4 linked regions of the Arabidopsis thaliana genome follow. The protein of the gene in region 1 interacts with the protein of each later gene in a pairwise test. Each region holds a gene or a part of one and is shown in the gene's direction. Other genes may lie near its edges. The genes, in order: DHAR1, AT1G52550, AT3G46370 and AT3G16180.

Region 1 (3,397 bases):
AACATTTTCAAAATAAACAGTGAGTAAGAGATTCCCACTAACCAATGGTTACATTGTCTCCAATTATGGTTGGGTGCACCTTCCCGCTTAAGTTTGATTTTGCCACATGCACAAGTGAGTTGTCCTGAATATTAGTTCCTGACCCAACACTTACGGTGTTCACATCGCCTGCGCAGAAAAAAAGAGAGAAAGCAAGTTTAGATTGTATGTTATCCCAGTTTCCTGGTAAAGTACTAACAGGCTTAGCCATACAGTACCAATGTGTTATGACATGAAAGCATTCTGTAAAAAGGACAACCCTATTTCATCACCATTAAATAAAAATCCAGACTAGCCAACTCATACTCGCAATAAGGATTCAACTCAAACTCAATAATCTGTATATGATATCGTTCAACTAATTCTGGTGTTATGACATGAAAGCATTCTGTATATGATTGGGGATATCATATACCCAATCACCCATTAGAGCAACTGCCAGTATCATCAAGATACGATATGTAGTAATGATCTGTTTAAGATCCTTCAATAAAGCTAGAAAGCTCCATTTTGAGTAGTAGTCTTGTTCATCGCTTAACCAGAAGAGTAAAAAACAGATATTCGTTCACTATTTTCTATCGTAAGAGTTGACACAGCTAAGGATACAGAAGTAGATACTATTTCAAACAAAACTTCAGTCACTAAAATAGTCAACCACCAAACACCAAACATTGAGGCTTAGTAGCTAGCTCACCTCGTAATACGCATCCATACCAAATGGACGATCCTCTTCCAATGTGAACGTCCCCAATAACTGAGGCGCTTGGTGCCACAAAAGCTTCCTTGTCCACAATCGGAGCCTTATCAAATACATTCATCAGTGTCCGATGCCTTGACACTACACAGAGAAAACCACAATTACATATAAGCAAATTTCGTGACCAGGAAACAAAAAAAAAACTAAGCAGCAAAACACATTCCACATCAATTAATCCCTTGTGCCATTCGAATCCAGAATCGCTATACCTACAAAGACATCAATTCCAGATCTCTAACCTAACCAGAATAGGTGAGCTGAATTACCCAATCGAAACTCCTCACTCTTTACGAATTCGAAATCGGAGTGAAAAATAGAGTTACGCAGAATCTTACGTTGTTCTCGGAAGTAATTTTTGCCTTGAAGGCGACAACCGAGGCGATCAAGAGCTTGACCAGTCTCACGGATCCAAAAACCGACCGAGTAAAATGCTCTGCCTAGGGTTCCCATTGATCGTCACTTTCTTCGAGCTCACAGGTAAACGAGGACTCAACACTGAATGAAGAAGACGAAAATGGTCGAAGCTGAAGAAGAGACGGAAGAAAAAAAATCAGCGAAAATGGATTTCAACAGGAACATTCCGGGACGGCGAAACAATAAATTACAGTTACAGTGGTTTAATATGGTTTAATCGAACCAAAACAATACGAAATATGAACCAAATCTAATTCGATATTTCAGGTAGTAGTTTCATTAAACCGATTATATTATTCGGTACGAATTTATTACTATATTTTCACTAAATTGAACGGTCCAAAACCTGCCGACCAAAAATCAAATGGCCCTATCAGTAACAATGTCGTTTCGTATCGTCGTCACTTGCAACGCATAACACGTGAGAAAAGATAAACATCGGGTAAAAATGGCCCACTGGTGGGTGGAGAATGGTAATAATTCAGTTTAAAAGCTAAGCCTTCTCACTGATTAACTCAATCATTCATCCGTCTCTGCAAACAAAGGAAGAAGAATCAAGATGGCTCTGGAAATCTGTGTGAAAGCTGCTGTTGGTGCTCCTGATCATCTCGGCGACTGTAACCATCTTCTCTTTCTCTCTCTGTTTTTGTTTTGCATTAAGCTTTTGATTTTGCAATTCTTAATTTCTGAGCTTTGATCGTTGGTAAATTTACTAATTTAAGTGTTTGTTTGTCGTTTTAGGTCCGTTCAGCCAACGGGCTCTTCTCACACTCGAGGAGAAGAGTCTTACCTACAAAATCCATCTGATTAACCTCTCTGACAAACCCCAGTGGTCAGTTTCTCTCACGCCTAAACCCTTAAGATCGGTCTAGTTTGAACTTGTTTAGCCATAATCTCTGAAATTTTACTTGTAACTGGTACGAGCTTTGTGTTAACCGGAAATTGGATTGGCTTCATGTGCGAGCATTGTGTTAACCGGAACTTGAAATTGGTGGCTTTGGTTTTATATATGATGCAGGTTCTTGGACATTAGTCCTCAAGGGAAAGTACCAGTGCTTAAGATCGACGACAAGTGGGTGACTGATTCCGACGTCATCGTTGGTATACTCGAGGAGAAGTATCCTGATCCACCACTCAAGACTCCTGCTGAATTTGCCTCTGTTGGATCCAACATTTTTGGTACTTTTGGGACATTCTTGAAGAGCAAAGACTCCAATGACGGATCTGAACATGCCTTGCTTGTTGAGCTAGAAGCTTTGGAAAACCATCTTAAGAGTCACGATGGCCCTTTTATCGCCGGAGAAAGAGTTTCCGCAGTGGATCTAAGCTTAGCACCAAAGCTTTACCACCTTCAAGTTGCTCTTGGCCATTTCAAAAGCTGGTCTGTCCCTGAGAGCTTTCCCCATGTCCATAACTACATGAAGACTCTGTTCTCGCTCGACTCTTTTGAGAAAACTAAGACCGAGGAAAAGTATGTGATCTCTGGATGGGCTCCCAAGGTTAACCCTTGAAACTATGCACCGTTATGAGATCGTTGGTGTGGTAATGTTGTTCAAGGTCTCTCTCTTATATCAGTCAAATAATGTACTTGGACCTTTTTATGTAATGTACTGTATCAATCAAATAAGAAGCCTATTTTGAAATAAGATTTGCCTCCATATCGAAACTCGGATAAACACTGGCTACACGTAACATAAGGGACAAGGGTTTTTTCAGACAAATTATTTAAGAAACTCATCGACAGTACTTGTGTACTTGACCTCAGGATAAAGCTCAGAAGTCTTAACTCCAAAAGAAGGATCTATAGTCAAGGAGGTAAAGTCGCTCTTCGCAAGGACCGTATGGATCAAACCCACAAAAAAATCCATTGGAGGCTGGGTCTCTGCAAATGCAAGTGACTCGTTTAATACTTTGGAGTTTGGACTGATGAATATTGGATATCAGAAACTGTTTTTATGGTTTAACTGATCACCTTTGATGGTTTTGAGGAGTTCTTCCTCAGAAACATAAGTCTTGTCGAGACTCGAGAGTCTTACCGATCTTTACATCCCACAAATCAACCATATCGTTCTGCGATACAATGTTCTTGGGCGGGTGAATGTAGGGTTGGGTGAGATTTTCCAAGAATGTTCCTGGGAGAAGGCAGTTATAGTCGCACCGTCAGCAGTCGTAAGGTAATCGGATTTT
Region 2 (3,484 bases), about 13 Mb from region 1:
GGGTCAATCTTGTGAAAGAGGTTTGGTCGGAAATCGACATAATCCAATGAAGCTAAACAGATTCATGGCTACTTCGGCTGGTGAACAAGAGGATAAGATGAACACAGAAGTGAGTGTGTCTGAGAAGAAATCTCCTCGACAGAATTTCCCCCGGAGACGTGGCCGAAAAAGCCTCTGGCGTAACACCGACGATCATGGCTACTTCACTCCCACCCTAAATGGTACGTTTGTCATTTTAGTTCATTATTGATATACCTATTTAGCAGAAAATTTCAATAGTGTCACAATAATAATATTTTCGAAATAAATTATATAAAAAAAATTCAACATTTAAGTGTAAAATATATCCCATAAAAGAAAAATTAAGAAGAAAATTTGAAATTCTAGAATCATAAAAATACATCAAATTTTAAATTTACATTTTCATTGCATTAAATCTCATGAAACATAATTAATGTAAACCTCTATTTTTGCTTGAATTGAATTTTTTCTTCTTCTTAAAACAGAGTTCTTTCCTCCGACTATAGGAAATACTCTGATACAAGCAACAGAGAATATGAACAGAATTTTCGACAACTTCAACGTGAATCCATTCCAACTAATGGGTCAAGTGAAAGAGCAAGACGACTGTTACAAGCTCAGATACGAGGTTCCAGGGCTAACCAAAGAAGACGTGAAGATCACGGTAAATGATGGAATCTTGACGATTAAAGGAGATCACAAGGCGGAGGAAGAGAAAGGCTCACCTGAGGAAGACGAGTACTGGTCTTCAAAGAGTTATGGTTACTACAACACGAGCTTATCGTTGCCTGATGATGCTAAGGTTGAGGACATTAAGGCGGAGCTCAAGAATGGTGTGCTTAATCTTGTGATTCCTAGGACGGAGAAGCCAAAGAAGAATGTTCAGGAGATTTCTGTTGAGTAGAAGAGATACGGTGTCGTTTTTGTGTTCTTTGATGGACTAAGCAAATTAATGTTGTACCTTTTTTATGTTTATGCGAATGGAATCAGTTATTAAGTTGCTAATTAACTTAGTTCATTTGCGCAAACAAAAGAAGCTAGAAAATACATTATAGACTAATTGAACAAGCAAAGAATGAACCAGTTTTGTGTTTGTAATGAGAATGGAATAAATTGTTATTCAGCATAGTTAATTTTCGCAAAAGAAAGAAGCCAAAATTAATTAAAAGAAGCAGCAAATGTTGTGTCCCTTTTATGTTTTCTATGCGAATGGCTCAATGGAGTAAATTGCTAATTCACGTCATGAACACAAAAATGTTGATATATTAAACAAGAAGTCCATTTTTGTACCTCATATCAAAATTTTATTTGTAAATTTTGTATTAATAATTGTGGATTTGCTATACTATACTATGAAATATTTTTCTTTATAGACAAGTTATGTTATACATTAAATTATTTATTTATTAATAAGTACAGTATTTTAGTGTATTGTCAGAGTTCAGTTTCTTTAAAGAAAACACAATATTTTTTTTTTTTGTCGTCAAGAAAACACAATATTTATGTTAAACAAAAATGCATGATATTTCAATAGTTTGTGGAAAATTATAGAAAATATTTCATTTTCCTTCTTTTAGTTTGGTATTAAGAAGGAAAAAACCAAAAACATTTTTTTGATAATGTATACATAAATTAAAATTAAAATAATGAGAAAACAAAACAAGGTCCAAAATACCTTGTGAAGAAAATGGCGACGGCGTTTGCCAACACGACTTCAAGCTCCAACCTTTACCTCCATCGCTGCCGTAAAAACCATCCTCTTCCATCTCCGTCGTTCTTTTCACCGTTCCGGTCGTCTCCACTTCCTTCTCAGACCCTTTTCCTCGTCCCCACTCCAAAACCTGTACGACGCATCGCGGTCGCTCCTCTCGGCCCTCCAACGCCGCCTAGTCCCGACCCACCTCCGCCTAAAAACACGACTGAGCTCACAAGTTCGTCTTTCCCTTCTTACCCTTAAAACTTCAATGTTTCAACTCTGAGTTCTGATTTTGTTTACTGCCAATTCTATTTTTCAATCTTTCCTAATTCGATGAAATTGCATTACGGAATTCGAATTAGGAGAATGAAGGTGGTTTAACTGCTATTGATTCGTAGATAAAGATGTTAATCTTAGTCCTCAAGATCGATTACTGTTCATTGCTAAAGTTTTGATCTTTGTGACAATTTATAGACTTTTACTCTTGTTAAGCATTAAGGATTTATAAATCTCCTCCTTTTACAACTTGTGAATGTCTTCCAAAAGTTCCACCATTTTCTTTTCCCTACAGGTTTAGTCATTGGTTGCAATACGAGAGCAATCTTCTTAACAATTTGGATTCATAGTTGTTGTTTGGTATCACATTTTGTGTAGGTCTTGTGGGAGTAGCGTCGATGATTCAAGACCGTGTAAAGATCTTTCTTTCAGTACTAATTTGGATCTCTCTCTTCTTTTGGGCTTCGGCTTTACAAGGAAGAGGCAGCAAAGGTAATGGTAAAGGGAAGAAGGGTTCACGCTTCAAATAGTATTAGTTAGATTGGTGTGGTGATGATGATGATGATTGATGAAAACTCCTCTACACGTTTGTGTATATATACAGAGGAAATATTCTTCCAAGTAAAGCAAATTTCTTGTCAGACTACAGTTTTATACTAGAAACTAGATTGTTCTCTTCTTACGATATCTCTAGCTTAGAGCTATAGAGATTACTCTACTGTGATGAAACTAAAGTAGTTTGCATTTAAGTCAAAATGCCAAATCAATATCATTGTTTATTGAAAGCTGTTTCAGATTGTAAATGACTAGATGTGTTTGGTGTGTGCTTGATTCAGCCAAACGGTAAACCGCACCGTTTCTTTGATTTGAATGTTTGTTGTATAAAATGGGCCTTTAGATATGTTATATAACTTGTTTGGGCTTCAACATACTCTTTTATTGGGCCTCTCTATATAATATAATATTTCCAAAGTTGTATTTAATTATTATTTGATTTATATTTAAAACAGTGGTTGTTTATTCATGATATGAAAAAAGAAATAACTGGATTTAGGTAAACCTTATTCAATACTGGGACAATGAATTAACCAGCTCATGATTAGTTGGACCTGTTTTGGTTAAAGGCTGGTAGTAAGTTTAGAAACAGAAATTTATGATAAGAGCCTAACATTTTGTTCTGACCACACTGAGTAATTTAACAATCTATCTAAATTAAGATTTTATGCTATGTTTAATTTATATTTGTTCTGATTATAGCAAATAAATTTCCATATCTAGAGATCTTCTTCATACACAATAAAAAAAACTAGTATTTGAACTTTTGTATGTATTAAAAATTGCAAGATTTTGTAAGTACAGATTCACCAAGGTGAGGTGTGTGATTAGGAAACTTTGATTAGTTGTCATGTGTCATCAACAGGCCATGAAAAGGAAATCTTTGAAATTCAAAAAACAATACCTTTTGATGAAATTATTACTATATAAATACTA
Region 3 (6,134 bases), on another chromosome or scaffold:
ATAAACGGTTAATTCGATGGACTGAAATAACCACCGCGAGTATCAAAACCGAACAAAACAAACTAGTTATACTTGTAATATGGCAAATATAGTTTATATTAATAAGAGTGTTTTCACGCCCGATCCAGAAATCGTGCGGTCCGATCGGTTAACCCGCGATCCGGACACCTCTCCATGGTTTAGTGTTAACATCTTGTAATTTTAATACCAAAAAACAACCACAAAAATCTGCCATTAACTCGTGATCTGGTGAACCGGTTCAACCGACCGGGTTTGAATTTAACAAAATTCATTTAATTTTTTGTTTTTTGGAATAAAATATAGGAGTTTAGTGTATTCAATGTTCAGTTATTTTAAGAACTTTTTCTAGTTCTTCCTTTTCTCAATCATCATGAAGACACTAATCCTTAAAAGTTAAATGGTATCAACAACTTAAGAGCTAGATTGTTTTACAATTAAACTACTTTCGTTTTTAATTTGAAATATTAGATATTTCGATAATAATATCTACAAATTTACTCCATATAATTTAAGGAAATTTATCATAGTGACCTATATTTTGTGTTTTATTACTAGAATGACATGCCAAAAATATGGGTTATATGTGTAATATTTATGTCTAAAATGCCCTTGTTTTGCTTTGTAGAATAAAATAATATTATAAGAATGCCATTAATAAAAACATTTATTTTTAAAAAAACTAAAATTTATTTACGATATTGCTACTCTGTCTTTTTACTAGATTTTGATAAATTTGTTGCTCTGGTTGCGACAATTTTGTTTTGGACCACATATTTTTTGGTCCACCATAGATTTTGTTTGACAGGCTTTTTTGTACCACAAACTTCTTTGAATATTTGAAGCATCTTGATGATTTTTTTTCGGGACAGATTTGTTTTATGTAGTCTCCCTAGATTTTTTTTCTAAAACTTTAATATCTTGAATGGTTGTGTAAGATACCTGCCACATATTTGTTTTTGAGCAGCAATTTTTTTATTGTGTTGGCAACATCTTGTTTTATTTAAACAAAAAAATACCGTTTAATAAAAAAAAATAAACCAAAGAAATGATTTATAATGAGGATAGATTTGTTTTATGTAATCACATACTTTATAAACTAGTCTATAAATCTGGCATTTTCGATTCACATAATGAATAACAGATTTGTTTTTAATCATGCTATTTATATTTTTCGGATCCAAAGCATAACATATTTTCTCATATCATATTATGCCCGATTTAATTATGACTAGAATAATTTTTTTAGTGATGACGGACTTTTCGTTAGCAGATTTGTTTTTAAAATTTTGATACATCTAGTTTCATGAGACTTATTATATAGCCTCTAGTAAAACTAAAGTACAACACAACTCCAAATCTTACCGTTTTGATTGTATGTTTACACTAGTTTGATTGCATTTGGTTACGACACATTTTTACTAGATCCAACAGATTTGTTAAGTTTAAATATCAAAATTCTTTATTTATTTATTTAAAAGGAATTTAATTAAAAACGTGATTAAAAGTTAGTTAGTCTTTCTACATAAAATTCGGGTTTGTATTATAGTTATTTACTTGGATTAGGAGTCATTTGTCATTTATGCTAAGATTTTAGTCAATCTGGATAAATCTCAATACTCCTATCTAGAAGTTTATCTAGTAATACTAGAAGTTTGACCTTGAATTTATGAGTTCAATGGGTTGAACCTGGTCGCTGGTTTAATGGTATCTCTCTTTTTCCTTTTGAGATAGAAGAAAAGAGACGAGAAAAAATTTGATACCATCAGTTCTGATTTTTTCATTTTATTTTTGGTTTAATTACTATTAACCTTTTTATTTATCTCTTTAAACAGGGTTCATCAGTTTTGATTGTGGGTTATCGCCGGATGAACAGTCTCCTTATAATGAGGAAACTGGATTACAGTTCTTATCAGATTCAAGTGTCATCCAAAGTGGACAAATTGGTAAAATTGATGCAAGTGTGGAGTGGAAGTACCCAAAGTCACAGACAACGTTGAGATACTTTCCAGACGGAATGCGAAACTGTTACAATCTTAGTGTGCATAAAGAAACAAAGTATTTGATTAGGGTTACAAGTAACTATGGAAATTACGATGGTCGTAACGAACCTCCTAGATTTGATTTGTACTTAGGCCCTAACTTCTGGGTAACAATAGATTTGGGGAAGCATGTAAATGGTGATACATGGAAGGAGATTATTCATATCCCAAAGTCAAACTCTCTAGATGTGTGTCTTATCAAAACAGGTACAACAACGCCAATTATATCGACCTTGGAACTAAGGTCTCTACCAAAGTATAGTTACAACGCAATATCAGGTTCTTTGAAGTCGACACTGAGGGCATTCCTAAGCGAATCAACAGAAGTTATAAGGTACGTCACCATTAAATTGATATTAAGGTTTTTTGACTCGTTCCATCGTCCATTGTTAATAATACAAGATTGTGTTGAAGCTCAGGTACCCAAATGATTTCTACGATCGGATGTGGGTTCCACATTTTGAGACGGAATGGAAGCAAATTTCTACCAATCTCAAAGTGAACAGCTCCAATGGTTATCTTCTGCCACAGGATGTGCTCATGACCGCCGCAATACCTGTGAATACTAGTGCACGATTGAGTTTTACCGAGAATCTTGAGTTCCCTCATGATGAACTTTACCTGTACTTCCACTTCTCTGAGGTCCAAGTCTTACAGGCCAACCAGAGTAGAGAGTTCAGCATTTTGTGGAACGGAATGGTTATTTACCCAGATTTTATCCCTGACTATCTTGGTGCCGCCACTGTGTACAACCCGTCACCATCTCTTTGTGAAGTAGGGAAATGCTTATTAGAGCTTGAAAGAACTCAGAAATCAACTCTCCCGCCTCTCCTTAACGCCATTGAAGTTTTCACAGTGATGAATTTTCCACAGTCTGAGACAAACGATGATGATGGTACTTTTTTTCTTCTTCTTAATGGTAGTTAAGTATTGTATGGGGAATGTGGTCTAAATCCAATTAACCTGTTTGTCGGGAAATTTTATGACAGTAATTGCTATAACAAAGATCAAAGACACACACAGATTGAATAGAACCTCCTGGCAAGGAGATCCATGCGTCCCTCAACTGTTTTCGTGGGCCGGTCTAAGTTGCATTGACACGAATGTATCTACCCCACCAAGAATCATTTCCCTGTAAGACCTCTATAACACAATCACTCTTTAGACTTGTGAGAAAAACTTGTCTAACTAAACTTATACTTGTTTATTTTTCTTCTTGTTTGGACTTATACACAGAAACTTGTCTTCAAGTGGGTTAACAGGAAACATAGCAACTGGAATTCAAAATCTGACCAAACTGCAAAAGCTGTAAGTATGACCATTTAAAGAAAAATGTTATATACGTCCGTTACCTTTCTTATTGATTTCTTACAAACTTCAGGGACTTGTCAAATAACAATTTGACAGGAGTAGTGCCCGAATTTCTAGCTAACATGAAATCGTTGCTGTTCATGTAAGTTTCCCAAAAGGTTTTGGTGGTTTTTTTCCCATGGATCATCTTCACCTAAGTATGTAGATTTCTCTGGTTTTAACAGAGACTTGAGGAAGAACAAACTGAATGGTTCAATACCAAAGACTCTACTTGATAGAAAAAAGAAAGGACTACAATTATTGTAAGAAGGAAATTCATCCACGCACATTTTAATTCAAGATCCATTGCCTTGTTAAATTCATCAAAACACTAAAAGATCGATATATTATTTTTGTAGTGTTGATGGCGATGATGATAAGGGCGATGATAATAAGTGTTTATCCGGTTCATGTGTCCCAAAAATGAAATTCCCATTGATGATTGTTGCATTAGCGGTTTCTGCGGTTGTGGTCATTGCAGTGGTAATGATTCTCATTTTTCTGTTCAGAAAGAAAAAGAAATCAAGTTTAGGTATTTGCATAGACTCACCAAATATTAACTAACAAACTATACAATATAAATTAAAATGTCACTGATATTGTTGTTTCTCTACATATATCTATCCCCTTTTCTTGTTATGCCACAAATAGGTATTACGTCAGCTGCTATATCTGAAGAATCGATTGAGACGAAAAGGAGAAGGTTTACCTATTCTGAAGTTGTGGAAATGACAAAAAACTTCCAAAAAACTCTAGGTGAAGGAGGGTTCGGAACCGTGTATTATGGTAATTTGAATGGTTCAGAGCAAGTAGCGGTTAAAGTACTCTCGCAATCATCATCACAGGGCTATAAACACTTCAAGGCAGAGGTATGATATGCCATAAATCGTCTATAGAATCGCACAAAATTTAAAAGAAATCATGATCTATATAGATATATATTTAGCATCACGTTAAGCAAACATATTTTGTCATTGTTGGTCTATAGGTCGAACTTCTTTTAAGAGTTCACCACATAAATTTGGTGAGTCTTGTTGGATATTGCGATGAAAGAAATCACTTGGCCCTCATCTACGAATGCATGTCCAATGGAGACTTAAAAGATCATTTGTCAGGTGAAAGATGTATATATGCAAATATAAATATATATATATATATATATATATATATATATATATATATATATTATATAAAATTCATAGGACGGTTAATTTTGACAATCTAATACAGGAAAAAAGGGTAACGCTGTTTTGAAATGGAGTACTAGACTACGAATAGCTGTCGATGCTGCGCTAGGTTCGTACTAACTCAAAACAGTTCCAGTGACTTGTCATTTTATATCAATTAGTTACTAATTGTATGCATTTGATACATCTGTTACAAACTTCTCATGATGAATTATTTCCATCAATTTTTACTCACTGGAATTTCTGACATGATCAACTAACAACATGAATGAGTCTCCTGCACAGGATTGGAATACTTGCATTATGGATGTCGACCATCGATAGTGCATAGAGATGTCAAAAGTACCAATATACTGCTGGATGATCAGCTCATGGCCAAAATTGCTGATTTTGGGCTTTCAAGATCATTCAAACTCGGAGAAGAATCACAGGCTTCCACGGTTGTTGCTGGTACTCTTGGATACCTTGATCCCGAGTAAGTACTATTAGTTCACTCCCATGATAAATATGTGTGTAATTTATGTCTACATTCATCTTCATCGTTTATATAGAGGTATACATATAAATCCTACTTCATCTCTTTGTTTTCCAGATATTATAGAACATGTCGGTTGGCTGAGATGAGTGATGTATACAGTTTCGGTATTTTACTACTAGAGATAATCACAAACCAAAATGTGATTGACCATGCCCGCGAAAAGGCTCACATTACAGAATGGGTAGGACTTGTGCTTAAGGGAGGAGATGTTACTAGGATTGTTGATCCTAACCTTGACGGTGAATATAACTCTCGTTCAGTTTGGAGAGCTCTTGAATTGGCTATGTCATGCGCCAACCCTTCTTCAGAACATCGACCAATCATGTCCCAGGTTGTTATCGATCTAAAAGAGTGTTTAAATACTGAAAACTCAATGAAAATAAAGAAAAATGACACGGACAATGATGGTTCTCTGGAACTGAGCTCGAGTGATACTGAGGCGGTCCCTTGTGCAAGGTAGTATTTACATAGACGCTTTGCCTACGTTGATGTGTTTCTGTTGGAAGTGATCAAGTCATGCATCATCTTACTTTATTGTTTTAGAAGAGTCATATATTATATAGTTAAGTAACTGATTAATGTATATTCGTATCACACATCGAAGAGATACGAATATAATTGTTAACTACAAAACAATTACATGTGTGTATGTGTCTCTACATTACGTTGTCTTCTAGAGACGTGTTCCTTAGTGAAAGTGTGTCATATAAACCTATAAATACAGTTTGTATATCTAATAAAAGTGTGTGGTTTTCGTTTTATAAAAACAAAGTGAAATATAGAGTAAGACAAAACAGAGTAAAATCTGTGTTGACCGATCCTTAACAACTTTGAGAGTTCAAAGTTCTACATGGTATCAGAGCTATGGAGACAACAATGCAGCAAGTTATTCCAATCTTCAATGGTGAATCGTATGGCTTTTGAAAAATCAAGATGATAACCATCTTGAAAACAAGGAAGTTGTGGGATGTTATCGAAAATGGAATTACGTTGAGTTCG
Region 4 (6,144 bases), on another chromosome or scaffold:
GGCTTTTTATTCACTTTTTGTTTTTAAATTATTCTAATGTTCTAAGAAATTATTTTAAGAGATTTTTTTAATAGCAGGATAATCTAATGTTGAATTCTTGATGTATTGATTAATTACGATTTTTTTTAAAAACTAAATTAGGTATTTGGTATTGAAACTGTTCATGTGGATGCATGAAAGACCACAAATAAATTTTTGGATAATGAAATTTCATTTTTGGTTCCTACTAGCGAGTCTTCTGCCATCATCAGACACCGCACTTAATTTTGTACGAACTTTTTCATTCAAATCTGGTTGCACCATTTTTAATTTTGTACTGAACATAAGTACTTTACTTATAATCTGGTTTAGGCAGAAACTTTCAAATACTTGTATCATTTAACTTGGAAACGTAATTACTTAGCGTATAATGATATATAGCCTGTAGGATATAGAATCACAAATTAGTGATAAGTATTTTGATACAGTAGTTTATATCCTCAGAATCTAACAGTATGATATTGTTTAGCAATATATAATGTTTTGTGAATAATGAATGTTAGTTTTCTTTGCATTCATTATTTGGATTAAGTCACATAAGAAAATATAATTGTTAATTTGGAATGGATAGTTTAACCGATTAGATACGAGTAACTTTATAAGATGGGGTTCGTCTTAAAGTCGACATTAGCAGGGAAAACTACTAATTTAATCTCTTGGTCGAAGTTACTATACATCGTAAAGTCCGAAACTTCTTAGATACATAGAAAATTATACAGTTAAACATATACTATTATTCATATTTTTGTTAAAACATAAACTATTATTCATGAGGTCAATTGTTACATGGGTTTGGTAAACTTTCGTATGCTATTATTTTATTATATTCTTTGGGCCGACTCTTTGAGATGTTGACTTATTAGTGTGATAAGGAGAAAGCGAATTAAAAAAAACTTTATATATGATTGCACTTACTTTAATGAATCCATTTTTTAACTTTAAACTGAAAAAAAAGAATTGAATAACAAAAAGTTTCAATTTGTCAAGAAAAGAGGAAGAGAGAGAGCCAAAACAAAAGCTGTTAACCTCATGGGATGTTTTCCATTCTCAATTATTAGTAAACTTTTGTTATGATTTTTGATCCGTTCCTTTCGATAATTGGATGTGATTTGTGGAAAGCCATTTACATGTTTAGTTACAGTATAATGATATAGTTGAAGCTCTCATAAACTTTTTAAGAGTTTAAGTCTGATTAGAAGACATCTTTAGAAGATAATACAATATTGAAATTCTTGTGATTGATTCTTCTACATTGCAAATTCACTTCCAACAACTATTTCATCAAAAAATCTATAGAATAGTTATGGTTTCGAAGTATATAACATTAACATATTTAACTAATTTGAAATGTACATAAATAATAATAAATTGGATTTATTTCAAAAATAAGTCAATAACACCAGACCATTTTATGTTTGACGTAAGTAACATGGATGATGGAACATTGGAAGTTTGATGTACAATGTACTGTTTTTTTCTTTTCTCTTCTTTTTGAAATATCTATGTAAGTTAATCTTCTCCATTTTAGATATTTTCTTCACAAAAAAACGAATATTTCTGGCATTTATGTTTCAACTTGTATTTAGCTAAGATTAGGAAAATGACGTTTTATCTAACTTTTTTTCTTTCATACTACTAACAAATCATTTCTAAGTTCTAACTAAGAATGAAAATTGTCGTGTGCCATATAGGATAAAACCTCACTCTATAAAAATCATTATGATAAATTAATTAATAAAATTAAAAAATTAAAAAACAATTTGCCTTGAGGGAAAAAGAAAATGTAGTATTTAAATAACAGCCATTTATTATTGCTCACTCGTCGCAGAAAACAGAGATTCCTCGCTGTCTGAACTGAAAAATAAGATCGCATTAACTCAAAACTCTCACAAAGACAAAGATCTTCTCCTCCTTCTCTTCTCTTTTTCACTTTTCTCTCTTCCCCTCTCTCGAAGCTTGAAAGGTAACAACAATGGAGAACCCTCCGGATCAAACAGAGTCAAAGGAGACTCTTCAACAACCCATTACAAGAAGAAGAACAAAGGGTGGTCTTCTCACTATGCCCTTCATCATTGGTAACAAACGATCTCTCTCACTTTTTTAGACAAAAACCCAAATCTTGTTACTAATTTTATCTCATCTTGTTTGTTACTCGGTGAAGCAAACGAGGGGTTCGAGAAAGTGGCGAGCTATGGATTATTACAGAACATGATTCTTTATCTGATGAGTGATTACAGATTGGGACTTGTTAAAGGACAAACTGTCTTGTTCATGTGGGTTGCTGCTACTAATTTCATGCCTCTCGTTGGAGCTTTTCTCTCAGATTCATATTTGGGTCGCTTTCTCACCATTGTCATTGCTTCTCTCTCCAGTCTCCTGGTAATTTCCGTCCCCTATTTAACCGGTTTACGCTTCTTCTTTCTCCCGGTTTACTCCGGTTCAATTTTTTAGCCACTTCTTTGACTCAACATTTTTCACCACCTAGTTAGCCTTTGGTTTGGAAATGCTTTGTTTATGTTTACTGTCAGTAAAGGTTGAGTTTTATTAAAATTGGGAATCTAAACCGAAAGTTTCGGTTTAAGTTGATTTGGGTGAAATATCGTGCTTGTATTCAGTGTTTTATTACTTGGCTTTAGACAATTGGACCTTACTTACATGCATTGATAATTGGAGTTAAATTCCGGTTTGATAGTTTTCGATAATTGGACTTGACTTTACTTGCGTCGACAACAAAAAGAGAATTCCATAAAATCTAACCAAGTCATAGAATTAAGGGCCAAGAATTAAATGGTACGAGGTTTTGTATGTAATTATTTAATTATTTTATATTCTCGAAATAGTAAAAAAAAGATTGGTATGGTAAATTTCAGGGGTTTTTACTAAAATTTTATAACTTTTTACCGTTGGTTTTGCTAAATCATTGATAGCTGTATATTTCTGCTTTAAGTACTATAATATCTAATGATAATCATCTACAGTGAAATTTCTAATTTAAGAGTTGATATGATTAAGCTTTTTAGAAGCCTTTTTCCATTAAGAGTCAAAATTTTCACATGTTGCATGTGCTTCCCTGAAATTGCTGTCCAATGAATGGAGAAACTAAACCCGCTTTGATTTGTTTTTAATATTTGTGTCCATCAAAAATATAAAAGTCGGTAAAATTAAATTCGAAGCCAGGTGTTCTGAAATGTCCATGTGAGTTTATATAATAACAGGTCTTAAATAATCATAAAGTATTTAATATCATTATTAATTCCTTAAAATCTTGTTTGTTGCTTTCCTTGTGGTTATGGTCTTGTGGGCTTTCTCTGGCAACTTGTGTGATTGTGAGTGACCACACTGCTTGCATCTCTCTATGTATAAAAAATATCATTTTGTTATTACTTTTTGTTGTATGTAGACTTAGAGTTTCATTATTTATATGTCCAAATATATGGGTCAAGCTGACGTGGACCTACATTTTGCCACCATTTAAGGATTTGACATTAGTTTTTTGGCCAACATATAAGTGTTAGACATGAAAGCAATATCGATTGGTGACCCATGTTTTTGTACTACTTGTCCCATTCTTGATCAAACTTATTATTTCACCCACTTGGAAAAAAAAACTTATCATATACATAGTGACATCAATTGATTTTGAAATCTCTACATCAATCATTCATCTCGAGTATCAATCATTTTCCGTAAGAAAATAATGTTTTCGTATGATGGATGTGACAATTGACGTACGTGTAGATTCTGATCTAATACTTGGATTCTTGTTCTTGGAAGTACTTTTTTTGGAAGACATCTACAGATTTTACGAATGAAGTGATAACTACATTTTTATTATGAAAAACAAAAACGTCAAAATCTAACCTACTACATTGTTTTAATAAATTTGTCTGAATCAAAAATGTTACAGGGGATGGTGGTTCTATGGCTAACGGCGATGTTGCCGCAAGTAAAACCATCACCGTGTGTAGCAACAGCCGGAACCAACTGCAGTTCCGCGACATCTTCTCAATTGGCTCTCTTGTATACCGCATTCGCATTAATATCGATTGGATCAGGAGGAATCAGGCCATGTTCTTTAGCCTTTGGTGCTGATCAATTGGACAACAAAGAGAATCCTAAGAACGAGAGAGTTCTTGAGAGTTTCTTTGGTTGGTACTACGCTTCTTCATCAGTTGCTGTCTTGATCGCTTTCACCGTCATTGTTTACATTCAAGATCATCTAGGATGGAAAATCGGGTTTGGAATACCCGCGATTCTCATGCTGCTCGCGGGTTTCTTGTTTGTTTTCGCGTCTCCTCTCTACGTTAAGCGCGATGTGAGCAAGAGTCTGTTCACTGGTTTAGCTCAAGTGGTTGCTGCAGCTTACGTGAAGAGAAACTTAACTTTGCCGGATCATCATGACTCCAGAGATTGTTATTACCGTTTGAAAGATTCTGAACTCAAAGCTCCAAGTGACAAATTGAGGTAAAGTGAAATCAGTTTCACATATATAGTTCTTGGTTAGTTTTTTTATTTATTGATACTTTCTTGCAATTGCTTAGGTTTTTAAACAAAGCTTGTGCCATAAGTAACCGCGATGAAGACCTTGGTTCTGATGGTTTGGCCTTAAACCAGTGGAGGCTATGCACAACGGACCAAGTTGAGAAACTCAAGGCGTTGGTCAAGGTGATACCGGTATGGTCCACGGGGATAATGATGTCGATAAACGTTAGCCAGAACTCTTTTCAGTTGCTTCAAGCTAAATCAATGGACAGACGTTTAAGCAGCAATTCGACCTTCCAAATCCCAGCTGGATCGTTTGGTATGTTCACAATCATAGCCTTAATCTCATGGGTTGTTCTGTACGACCGCGCAATTCTCCCTTTAGCTTCAAAGATCCGAGGCAGACCAGTTAGAGTCAATGTCAAGATTCGAATGGGATTAGGGCTATTCATATCATTCTTAGCAATGGCGGTTTCCGCAACTGTTGAACATTACAGAAGGAAAACCGCGATAAGCCAAGGACTCGCAAACGATGCCAACTCAACAGTGAGCATCTCAGCAATGTGGCTTGTACCACAGTATGTACTACACGGTTTAGCAGAGGCCTTGACCGGGATAGGACAGACCGAGTTTTTCTATACCGAGTTTCCTAAAAGCATGTCGAGTATCGCAGCTTCGTTGTTCGGTCTAGGAATGGCAGTGGCTAATATCTTGGCTAGTGTGATCCTAAATGCGGTAAAGAATAGCTCAAAGCAGGGCAATGTGAGCTGGATTGAAGATAACATCAACAAGGGTCACTATGACTATTACTATTGGGTTTTAGCGATCTTGAGCTTCGTTAATGTCATCTACTACGTTGTGTGTAGCTGGTCCTATGGTCCTACGGTGGATCAGGTGAGGAATGATAAGGTTAATGGTATGAGAAAAGAAGAAGAGGAAGTTATTAAATTAAACTAAGACCAATTGGTTGATCATAATTAAATGGTGTACGTGTGTTATAAAATTCTATATATTTGTATGTAATTAGATTATTATATCATGGATTTGGATTTTCTTAGGATGTAGAGGTTGATGTTAATTAATGGGTCGTGTGTTTATTTAATTATTACAAAAAAAAAAAAAACATTGTGTGTATGATATTTGATTGAAGAGAATCAAATTTTCAAAATGGTGATTTGTGGTGTTTTTGACTTTGGGAAATTGAATCACTTAAATTAAGAAAAAATCAAAGCTTACTAAGAGTAGAAACATTTTGTATGGCTTTGACGCTAAGTGGAGCCATCCACAATCTTCCTGTGGCTATAATTTCTCCACTTGTTTCTCTTCTAATCTCAATCACAGCTGATTTTAATCCTCCATTGCTTCCATTCACTCTTGCTTCTATCTCTACCGTTTCCTGCAATTTTGTAGTTTTTTCTTATCATTATTACTTCTAATCATTACTAATAATAGTAATTTACCTAATTTAGTAGTTTGCATGTTTCATAACAAAAAAAACGAGAGAAAAATGAGGATAGGGAAAGCGAACGTGAATCTTGGCCGTTGAATAAAACGAAGAGTTGAGATCAACAGAGATATGGAGTCCGCCGCCGGAGGAGTACACAGCTGACGCTCCGATCGAGT

What was found.
Region 2: the proteins of DHAR1 (region 1) and AT1G52550 interact in a protein complementation assay, tested with the Arabidopsis thaliana proteins (one large-scale study listed by BioGRID).
Region 3: the proteins of DHAR1 (region 1) and AT3G46370 interact in a protein complementation assay, tested with the Arabidopsis thaliana proteins (one large-scale study listed by BioGRID).
Region 4: the proteins of DHAR1 (region 1) and AT3G16180 interact in a protein complementation assay, tested with the Arabidopsis thaliana proteins (one large-scale study listed by BioGRID).

Annotation. Positions count from the first base shown.
Region 1 is NC_003070.9:6,772,786-6,776,182, reverse strand, and holds DHAR1 (dehydroascorbate reductase), read left to right. Parts: upstream 1-1,659; 5' UTR 1,660-1,769; coding exon 1,770-1,827; intron 1,828-1,951; coding exon 1,952-2,042; intron 2,043-2,228; coding exon 2,229-2,721; 3' UTR 2,722-2,881; downstream 2,882-3,397. Other genes in the region: GAMMA CA1 (gamma carbonic anhydrase 1), read right to left, coding at 43-168, 734-877, 1,132-1,246; AT1G19565 (uncharacterized protein), read left to right, coding at 3,052-3,104, 3,213-3,304. UniProt on the Arabidopsis thaliana protein: Displays a dual function. As a soluble protein, exhibits glutathione-dependent thiol transferase and dehydroascorbate (DHA) reductase activities. Key component of the ascorbate recycling system.
Region 2 is NC_003070.9:19,572,224-19,575,707, reverse strand, and holds AT1G52550 (uncharacterized protein), read left to right. Parts: upstream 1-1,648; 5' UTR 1,649-1,708; coding exon 1,709-1,952; intron 1,953-2,371; coding exon 2,372-2,523; 3' UTR 2,524-2,953; downstream 2,954-3,484. Other genes in the region: AT1G52560 (HSP20-like chaperones superfamily protein), read left to right, coding at 1-221, 507-925.
Region 3 is NC_003074.8:17,049,920-17,056,053, forward strand, and holds AT3G46370 (Leucine-rich repeat protein kinase family protein), read left to right. Parts: upstream 1-1,600; 5' UTR 1,601-2,035; coding exon 2,036-2,394; intron 2,395-2,479; coding exon 2,480-2,955; intron 2,956-3,049; coding exon 3,050-3,194; intron 3,195-3,296; coding exon 3,297-3,368; intron 3,369-3,441; coding exon 3,442-3,513; intron 3,514-3,595; coding exon 3,596-3,673; intron 3,674-3,769; coding exon 3,770-3,942; intron 3,943-4,061; coding exon 4,062-4,279; intron 4,280-4,398; coding exon 4,399-4,525; intron 4,526-4,640; coding exon 4,641-4,706; intron 4,707-4,882; coding exon 4,883-5,072; intron 5,073-5,189; coding exon 5,190-5,595; downstream 5,596-6,134.
Region 4 is NC_003074.8:5,480,811-5,486,954, reverse strand, and holds AT3G16180 (Major facilitator superfamily protein), read left to right. Parts: upstream 1-1,767; 5' UTR 1,768-2,011; coding exon 2,012-2,114; intron 2,115-2,200; coding exon 2,201-2,418; intron 2,419-2,424; exon of another isoform or gene 2,425-3,938; intron 3,939-3,946; coding exon 3,947-4,503; intron 4,504-4,580; coding exon 4,581-5,478; 3' UTR 5,479-5,630; downstream 5,631-6,144. Other genes in the region: AT3G16175 (Thioesterase superfamily protein), read right to left, coding at 5,747-5,917, 6,050-6,144. UniProt on the Arabidopsis thaliana protein: Low-affinity nitrate transporter involved in xylem-to-phloem transfer for redistributing nitrate into developing leaves. Not involved in dipeptides transport.